Macaca mulatta: one gene and its partners. The protein of the gene in region 1 purifies or fractionates together with the protein of each later gene. This does not show direct contact. Links are inferred from orthologs where the notes say so. Each region holds a gene or a part of one and is shown on either strand. Other genes may lie near its edges. The genes, in order: ATP1A1, HADHB and RHOA.

Evidence for each region.
Region 2: the proteins of ATP1A1 (region 1) and HADHB fractionate together in Homo sapiens (co-fractionation; 3 studies listed by BioGRID, with this or other methods). This does not show direct contact. The link is inferred for Macaca mulatta from reciprocal best matches to the Homo sapiens genes ATP1A1 and HADHB.
Region 3: the proteins of ATP1A1 (region 1) and RHOA purify together in Homo sapiens (affinity purification with mass spectrometry; 3 studies listed by BioGRID and IntAct, with this or other methods). This does not show direct contact. The link is inferred for Macaca mulatta from reciprocal best matches to the Homo sapiens genes ATP1A1 and RHOA.

Annotation. Positions count from the first base shown.
Region 1 is NC_133406.1:123,882,260-123,885,915, forward strand, and holds part of ATP1A1 (sodium/potassium-transporting ATPase subunit alpha-1), read right to left. Parts: intron 3,068-3,656; coding exon 2,917-3,067; intron 2,334-2,916; coding exon 2,165-2,333; intron 2,024-2,164; coding exon 1,869-2,023; intron 1,542-1,868; coding exon 1,418-1,541; intron 101-1,417; coding exon 1-100. UniProt on the Homo sapiens protein: This is the catalytic component of the active enzyme, which catalyzes the hydrolysis of ATP coupled with the exchange of sodium and potassium ions across the plasma membrane.
Region 2 is NC_133418.1:98,714,264-98,717,919, forward strand, and holds part of HADHB (trifunctional enzyme subunit beta, mitochondrial), read right to left. Parts: intron 3,466-3,656; coding exon 3,317-3,465; intron 2,737-3,316; coding exon 2,634-2,736; intron 2,189-2,633; coding exon 2,050-2,188; coding exon of another isoform or gene 2,024-2,049; intron 1-2,023. UniProt on the Homo sapiens protein: Mitochondrial trifunctional enzyme catalyzes the last three of the four reactions of the mitochondrial beta-oxidation pathway.
Region 3 is NC_133407.1:112,801,257-112,803,716, forward strand, and holds the end of RHOA (transforming protein RhoA), read right to left. Parts: intron 2,000-2,460; exon of another isoform or gene 1,790-1,999; coding exon 1,616-1,789; 3' UTR 544-1,615; downstream 1-543. UniProt on the Homo sapiens protein: Small GTPase which cycles between an active GTP-bound and an inactive GDP-bound state.

The DNA of each region.
Region 1 (3,656 bases):
TCCCAGTCCACTCGGAGGCCCAACAGGTGAAGTGGGAGGAAGCCGTTCTCAGCCAGAATCACAAAGTAAGTAAAGAAGCCGCCCAGGGCCTGGATCATACCTAAGTTGGAAAAACATCCCAATTACTAGAACCTCACATGCAACGGTACCTGTATAGCCTTTAGCTGATTACTGCAGCGGGCCTGGGAGAGCACATATGGAGGAGTGTTTCCCACTGGTTGATAAAAGCACAGGGAAGAACTGCCTGGTCACTCACAGGCTATGAGGGATGGGATGGAGGACCCCAGAGGTACACTCCAATCTCAGGGCCCTCTGCTTTTTGAGTCACTTTTTGGAGCTGACACAGAGACACATGTGCCTTGCTCTCAAAATGCCCACCTCTGTTACTTGACCGGCTGCTTCTAAGGGCATGACCCTTAGGGGAAATCCACTTCCCTACTTTTTAATCTCTGACAAATGATAACTTCTTTTCCATCTTTCAAAATTCCCACATGCTGCCATTTTTCTAGCCACTGTGGCACCTTCTGACTCTCCTTTACACCTTCAGGACCCTCTTCCCCTGGCATCCAATTTAACCACACTGCTCCAAGTTCCTCAGGGCAAGGTTTCATCCTATACCACCAGAGACCTAGTCTTCCTTCCTCTCAAAAGTAGGCCTCCTTGGAGAAGGTCAGGATGGGCCACCAGCCAATCACTTTGTTGCCAAAAACTGTCTAATGAATCTTTGCCATAATTTCCACAATGTTCTAATCTGTTCTACTTTATCCAAGTGTTCACAGTTATGTGACCCATTAATCCAGGAGAGTAAGACATTCATGGTGGCTTCACCAGGTTCTCTTGAAAGAACCCTAGGCAGAGGATTTAAAAACAAATGGCATGCTGATTGCCCACCACCTAGACCACCTGTTAGCTAGTCATGCTCCATTGTGGGGGCGGAAGTCCAGCATAAGGTGGATGGAGGATCACCCTTTGGTGGTGACCTACTAGCCAAACCCTCAAACACATATACTTTCTCCAATGCCTAACTCTCCATCTAAGTGAGTGACAGATAAGTGTGTATCTCCAGGGAAAGCAGCCTGTGTGTCAGCACACACAATTCCTCAGAACCATGCCTCATGTTCCACAAGGCTCAGTGAGGAAGGACATCCTCTTTTCTCAGGCAGAGTTGAGACCAGTTCCAAGGTGCTCACTAGAGAAAACCAGTTTCCACAAAAGGTAACTGGGCAAACAGCAACAGATGTATTCTCACATGGAAGACAGTTTACAGAAACTCCACAGGCTCACCCTGTTAGGGCTCATCCTAGACCTGAAAGTCACCCTGGATTTGCAGTCTCTGAAATAAATCACAACCTGAAGAGGACGCCATCACCTCAGATGCCTTAGATGTGCCAGCTTCCCACTCCAGGCTGCAGCTTACCAATCTGCCCATAGGCCATGCTGATCAGCCTCTCATTCACAAGTTTGTCTGTTTTGGGATTTCTGGGCTGTCTCTTCATGATGTCACTCTCAGCCTGCTCATAAGCCAGGGAGATGGCAGGAACCTGGGAAGGGGTGGGGACAAGGAATTTAATTACTAAAAATAAGGAAGCTAATATGGTGAACCTTTTGTTATAAAATTCTTGCCCTCCCATTTAAAAATCTTTTAGGTGAAGTACACAAAAATAAAGATTCCCATCTGATGTTAACTGTTGCCTTGAAGAGCGGTAATACTGATTCTGTGATGTGGGGATTGGGACACACACTGGATATTGGTCCTGAGAATTTCTTTTCCCAACACCAGCCTCATGGATGCCGGGAGCACAGTGCCAGTGAATGAAGACACAGTTCACACCTCACTACTATTGATCTGTGGCTGTTGCGACACTCACCATGTCAGTACCCAAGTCAATGCAGAGGATGGTGACAGTCCCCAGTGGTAGTGGAATGTTTGCAATAATAAATATCAGGAAGGGGGTGATCTCGGGAATGTTACTGGTTAAGGTATAAGCAATGGATTTCTTCAAGTTATCAAAGATCAGACGACCTATGAAGAAGCAAGATTTTTTACTGTTAGCTTATGAGAGAAGCACATTGGAAACTGAACATATCCAAGAAATATACAGAAATGGATGCTAATGGGCAGTATCTGAATAAGATCTTGGTGTACACCTTAAACAGCTCTCACCTTCCTCTACTCCAGTCACAATTGAGGCAAAGTTGTCATCCAAAAGTATCATGTCAGCAGCTTGCTTGGACACATCTGAGCCAGCAATCCCCATAGCAACCCCAATGTCTGCTTTCTTCAAAGCTGGAGAGTCATTCACACCATCACCAGTCACAGCCACAATAGCACCCTACCCCAGAAAAGGGAAAATGGGTTAATACCAATCACTGTTTCTAGTGATGGAAATAGTGCGACGCATGCCCCCTCTGAGCACTCATTACAGACACTACTCCTTTCCTACTGAGACTATTTATGAAGCCTGAGAACCATCATAGGGAAGTATTCACACAGGCCCTACACCAAATAACAGAACTGACAAGTGACAACAAACATAGCCCCCGGCATTAACAAGGGCTACTCAAAGTAATGACTCTGGTGGGTGGCACTCCAGAAAATCCCATTCCTGTATGCATGCCCAGTAGTCTCCTGACCACTCACATGTCTACTGCAAACACTAGGACCCCATATCAGATGACTCCACGGAGGGGTCAAGCTCTGGGACACAGTGGGACACCTGGACTTTAAAGTGCTTCTGTCACTGCTAAACCATTAACAAGTCACCCTCTCTATGCCTGGGAGCTTCCTTCTGGCCTGTTTTATACAGAGTCTAATACAGCGAGGTTTGCATCCATCAACGTTGCTGTGTTTCCACTGGAACTCCAATCCCTAAAGCCAACAGTGCCCAAAGCAGCCCGATCCTTGTGCTGGCTGACCTGTCTCTGGCAGCCTTCCACAATGATGAGCTTCTGCTGAGGGGAGGTCCTGGCAAACACTATCTCAGTGTGGTACTTCAAAATGTCATCCAGCTGCTCGGAGGTCATGTCCTTTAGATCACTGCCATGCACTACGCAGGCCTTGGCATCCCTAGAATTAGGACAAAAGAAAAAAAAAGTCACTCATCACATCACCAGCACGTGTCCATCACCTCAAGAAGGGATATTCTTATGCAGATCACTCTGTAAACAAAACAAAGAAGGAATTTTCCCCAGCATGTAAAAGCTATTAAGTGTTCAGTACTTTACAGGTTACAGAGTATTTTCATATATTTTATCTCATTTGAGGCTCATGACAATCTTTGGGGCAGGCCTGTCTGTATTCTTTCCCTACCTTTATAAGACATGCTGAAATATAACCAAGTTTTAGCTGGGTGTGGTGGCTCATGCCTGTAATCCCAGCACTTTGGGAGGCTGAGGCGAGCGAATCACTTGAGGTCAGTAGTTCGAGACCAGCTTGGCCAACATGGTGAAACCCCATCTCTACTAAAAATTTAAAAATTAGCTGGGTGTGTTGGTGGAGGCCTGTAATACCAGCTACTTGGGAGGCTGAGGCAGGAGAATCACTTGAACTCAGCAGGCGGAGGTTGCAGTGAGCCAAGATCATGACACTGCACTCCAGCTGGGGCGACAGACTGAGACTCCATCAAAGAAAAAAAGAAATGTAAGTTTTAGACAGT
Region 2 (3,656 bases), on another chromosome or scaffold:
TATAAACTTCTAGAAGGTGCTAGGTATCATTCTTTGTTCATCCATAAAAGCATCCAGTATTGTCTCATTTATACTCTACATGCTAGATAAAGAATTATGGAACACATACTCAAATCTGCAGACATTACCCTATGTGGATTACGCACTAAGCTCGTGAGTAATGTGTACAAGTTATCTCCCTGGTAGAAGTCTGGCATGGAGAGATAGAGGGATAGCTGAAGTCTTAATGGACCATGGTTTTCTGTAGATGAAGTTACACAGATTAAAAAACATTTCTGATCATAAAGTCCAAAATGTTCCAACTGATAAATAACTGACCCCTTGGTTTCTGCAAAGTCTCTGATGAAAATTCATGAAAATGGGCTTTTAAATGTAAGATTTATTTTATTTATTTTTGAGACAGAGTCCCTCTCTATCACCCAGGCTGGAGTGCAGTGGCGCTATCTCGGCTCATTGCAACCTACACCTCCGGGGTTCAAGTGATTCCCCTGCCTCAGCCTCCCGAGTAGCTGGAATTATAGGCGCATACCACCATGCTAGGCTAATTTTTGTAATTTTAGTAGAGGCAAGGTTTCACCACGTTGGCCAGGCTGTTCTTGAACTCCTGACCTCAAGTGATCCACCCGCCTCAACCTCCCAAACTGTTGGGATTACAGGTGTGAGCCACTGCGCCCGGCCTGTTTATGCTTTTACATATTTATTCATTTTGATCAGGAACAGGAAGTTTCTGTAATCTAGAGGAAGAGAAAATCTGTTCACATTGTAATTAAAAAAAAAAAAAAAAAAAAAAACAGGGCAGGCGCAGTGACTCATGCCTGTAATCCCAGCATTTTGGGAGGCTGAAGCAGGCGGATCACCTGAGATCAGGAGTTCGAGACCAGTCTGGCCAATACGGTGAAACCCCATCTCTACTAAAAATACAAAAAAATTACCTGGGCTTGGTGGTGAGCACCTGTAATCCCAGATACTCAGGAGGCTGAGACAGGAGAATTGCTTGAACCTGGGAGGCAGAGGTTGCAGTGAGCCGAGATGGGGCTACTGCACTCCAGCCTGGGGGACAGAGCAAGACTCTGTCTCAAAAAACAAACAAACAAAAAACAAACTACGATCTTCCTTTTGGATTTTATTCCTAGAGTGAGATGCTACAGCAGTCAGGAAGTTGGGTCTGTAATGCAAGCGAAGTAGAAAGGAAAAAAATCTGTCAACAATATACTTCCCCAGCTGAACAGGAGTAAGTTATCCAGAAGTAAATTAACTCCCCAGTTAAGGTATAATTCAGTTCTCTAGAAAGACAGTTTCTCTCTTGGAGAGATTTCATAAAGTCTTAACGGTGACTAGATAAATAAAAGTTTATTATTAAAGAAGAAAATATATCAAGATGTTAATAATGATAATGTCTGATGGGGAGATTATAGATGACTCTAACTTTTTCCATATACTTTTCATATATTCCACAATTTTCATAATCAGCATATATTTATAAGTAAAAAATAAACATTATATTCGGGAAAAATAGCTTGGGTTTAAATAGCAGTTTCCTTCCAAAGAATTACCAGAATTATGGCAGGGCATGGTGGCTCATGCCTATAATCACAGCACTTTGGGAGGTCAAGGTGGGTGGATCACTTGAAGTCTGGAATTCGAGACCAGCCTGGCTAACATGGCGAAACCTTGTCTCTACTAAAAATACAAAAATTAACTGCACACGGTGGTGCACGCCTGTAATCTAAACTACTCGGGAGGCTGAGGAACGAGAATCACCTGAATCCAGGAAGTGGCGGTTGCAGTGAGCTAAGATATGACCACTGCATTCTAACCTGGGCAACAGAGCAAGACTCTGTCTCAAAAAAAAAAACCCAAAAAACAAAAAGTATTATCAGAATTAAAGCTGTTATCCCTCCCCACTCCCCACCCCCGTGTCATCAAAAATATTGCTTTAAGAAGGTTTCAAACTAAATCATACATTCTAGTCATTCCAAGAAAATGACTCTCTGGAAGGTCCTATGACACCACTGTAACGTACCTGCCCTCCAGCTGCGCAGGCAGCCACTAAGCCATACTGGCCTCCTTCTTTCCGTAATCTGTTGGCAGCTGCCATGACCAACCTGCAGCCAGTGGCTCCAAATGGGTGTCCCAGAGACAGAGATCCACCCCAGTTATTAAACTTCTCCAAAGGAGGCAATCCAACCTGGCTCCCACAAAGACACAAATGTAAAGATAAGTTTACTTAAGATCAGAATCAAGCCAGGCTCTTAGTACTATGAAGTAAGAGGGATAAAGGAAAATACCGAACGTCAGACATATTACAAATAATTTTACTGCAAAAGAAAGTAAGTCTAGGTCAATATTAAAAGTCAGGAGTCCATTTATTTTTCATCTAATGCCAGAATGCAAGGAACAAAAGATAACACAGAATTTTAATTTTGCTAATTTCTGTTTTTAAACTAAGAAATAAATATATTTAATGAAACAAGAATTTCTATCTTTACACTAAGAAATAAATATCTTTAATGAAAGACAAAATTCTTCAAAAGAAAGAGAAGCTTTTCCTTCATATTCTTAAGAACAGGTAACTAAGATCCAATTATTAACGCGTTTGAAAATTCAAGCATTTTTTAAAATCAGAAACTCACCTTGGTTTTTCTACCCATGTAGTTTTCTGCAAACCAATCAGAATCCATGGCTTTAAAATTTGCCAAAATCTGACCCTGGAGGAGAAAATAATTGAATAAGAACCTTGTTATTCATGTTCCTCTACGCTTTCTTATGGGCACGGTTTGTGAAAGTTTAACAACTTGTAGGTATGCTTTAAAGTTGAGCAAATTGGACGGGCGCAGTGGCTCACATCTGTAATCCCAGCACTTTGAGAGGCTGAGGTGGGTGGATCATCTGAGGTCAGGAGTTCAAGACCAGCCTGACCAATATGGTGAAACCCCATCTCTATTAAAAATATTTAAAAAATGAGTCAGGCATGGTAGCAGGCACCTGCAATCCCAGCTACTCGAGAGGCTGAGACAAGAAAATTGCTTGAACCCAGAAGGCGGAGGTTGCAGTGAGCTGAGATCACGCCACTGCACTCCAGAGGGGGCAAGAGAGCAAGACTCTGTCTCAAAAAAAAAAAAGTAAAGTTGAACAAATCTTTGTATCAGTTTTCAATGAGAATTTCCTAAAGAAACAATTTGGTATGTTCTCCAACACTGTATGGCCATTCCTTCCCTCCCCTCAGGCACCTCCCAGCAGTGTGAGTCAGTACTTAAAATATATAGGTCCACTCCTGCTCTACTCACATCATAAACCATGCCTTGCTCTCTCCCACAAATATGGACGACATTTTTTATGACTATAGTCCCTTCATATGTGTCTTTCAAATGACTTACCGAGAAAGCTTCATGAAATTCAAAAGCATCAATATCATTCATGGTTAATCCTGCCTTTTCTAGAACTTTTGGAGTAGCATATGTTGGCCTGAAAAGAAAAAATAAGTAATATCTTAAAACTTTAATTTTTAAACTAAGAGCTTCTTCGTATTCCCCAAACTGAGTTTAACATAGGTACTCTGTCTTTTCACTCATTCTTTGGTTTTTCTGTACTGATTAATTAAATGTTAAAGATAAAATAATGAAACTGTACAGACATGCCCTCTACCCTTATTATGT
Region 3 (2,460 bases), on another chromosome or scaffold:
CCGTTTTCTTTCTCAAAGGCTCCTCAATTAGGATGTGGGGTTCGGCATAGAAGGCTGGTGGGCGGCGGCAGCAGCTGCCGGTGCGCAAACAGCCCTCCTCTCCTGTGCCATGTTACCGGCAGTGCAGGGGACAGCCAGAGGGATATGGGCTTCCGGTCTCCCTCCTCCCTGTCTCCAAAGCGGCACCGCCCTTGCGCGGGTTTTCTAACAGGGCAGAGTCCTGGAAGCTCTGCCCCAGCTTCCTGAAGTGGAGCCCAAGAGCTCGTCAGGGCCAAGGAAACGCGGCCTGAGTCCTCCCTCTCTGGCCTCCTCAGTAGGCTGCATTCACCCTCCCCCCAAATCTGAACTAGAATGCGGTACAGGGTAATCATTTCCATGTTGTTGGGAGGGACCAGATTAGCTGCTGGGTAGGTGGGAGGTGGGGCACAACCTAGTCTTTTGCACCCTGAACAAACCTCTCCAGGGTGAGCTAGGCCAGGAAGTCCTTGCATCCTCCTGCCCCCAGCCCTGGAGAGAGCAACACAAACAACAGGATACACGAAGTTTAGAAAACTGCCTTTATTCTATTAGTAGTTGGAAAAATTAACTGGTACAGAAAAAAAGTTTAGTCAGCTGGAGAGAAGAGAGACTGAGTGCCACCTATGAGAACTGGTGGCTCCTCTGGGAGGGAACCTGGATACAGTGAGGAGAAGAGCACTGTGAATTAGAGCCAGATGCTGAAGTCCAGGTGAGACAGGTTATGCCACCTTCCAAAGTGTCTAATTGCCTCAGGCGTGAAACCAATTCCTATTTACTTAGCCCAGCTCCAGATAGGGGTACTGAGATACATGGGGCCGAAAAGGGGTAATATGGCCATCTTTTATCAGAAAAAGTGACAAAACGGGAATTTAAAAAATGAATTTTCCATCTGACTTTATTTCCAAATACACTTTCTTTTTTAAAAAACCAATACACTTTCTTTGGGGATGACAAATATCAGTATTAGGAAATCCAATTATACAAAAAATACTACATCTAGTCTGGGGTAGATATATTTATTTTTGGTAACATACATTAAGTGGCACTAATTACACAGTAACTATAAGGTAACTAACATGAAACCACAGAACTGTAACTCTGCCACAGCTGCATGAACTTGGGCTTTTCTGGTTGAGCCCATTTTCAAAAAACTGCCCACCCCAGAGCTATGCCAACAAAATCTGTTAATGAGTAAAGCCCTGAAGTGGTGACTCACCAGAGTACCTTGCAGCTGACAGATAATAGGCAGGACATGTTAGTTATAAAGTAGTTACAGCCTAATTCACAAAAGTTACCAACTGTTTCTCTTTCTAGAAAGAAGCAAGAAGTTAAGAAATTCCTTGAATTAGCGCCTGGTGTGTCAGGTGGGAGTGCAGAGGAGGGCTGTTAGAGCAGTGTCAAAAGGACCCTGGTGGGCCAGACGGGTTGGACATCATTAATAATCATAGTTGGCTTCTAAATACTGGTAGCAAGATGACTTCTGATTTGTAATCTTAGGTAAATTATAGATAAATGAAAAAGGCCAGTAATCATACACTAAGATTAATAAACAGCACTTCAAAATTAACCGCATAAGGGCTGTGCTTGCAGCAAGGTTTCACAAGACAAGGCACCCAGATTTTTTCTTCCCACGTCTAGCTTGCAGAGCAGCTCTCGTAGCCATTTCAAAAACCTCTCTCACTCCATCTTTGGTCTTTGCTGAACACTCCATGTACCCAAAAGCACCAATCCTGTTTGCCATATCTCTGCCTTCTTCAGGTTTCACCGGCTCCTAGCAAAAAGAAAAAACAGTCCTTTTAGCTAATAGTGTGGCATACATATAGTAAGTAAAGAGTATTCAAATTCAGCTTAAAGACTTTTTTTTTCTTGTTTTGCAACAGTTTTACTCTTGTCAGTCGCCCAGGCTGGGCTGCAATGGTATGATCTCAGCTCACTGCAACCTCCATCTCCTGGGTTCAAGCGATTCTCCTGCCTCAGCCTCCTGAGTGGCTGGGACTACAGGTGCCCACCACCACACCCAGCTAATTTTTTAGTAGAGATGGGGGTTTCACCAGTTTGGCCAGACTGGTCTCGAACTCCTGACCACGTGATCTGCCCACCCCGGCCTCCCAAAGAGCTGGAATTACAGGCATGAGCCACTGTGCCCAGTCTTAAAAAAAGACTTTTTTTTTTTTTTTGAGACAAAGTCTGGCTCTGTCGCCCAGGCTGGAGTACAGTGGCGCAATCTCGGCTCACTGCAACCTCTGCCTCCCGGGTTCACGCCATTCTCCTGCCTCAGCCTCCTGAGTAGCTGGGACTACAGGCGCCCGCCACCACACCCAGCTAATTTTTTGTATTTTTAGTAGAAACGGGGTTTCACCGTGTTCGCCAGGATGGTCTCGACCTCCTGACCTTGTGATCCGCCCGCCTCAGCCTCCCAAAGTGAGCCACTGCGCCCGGCCA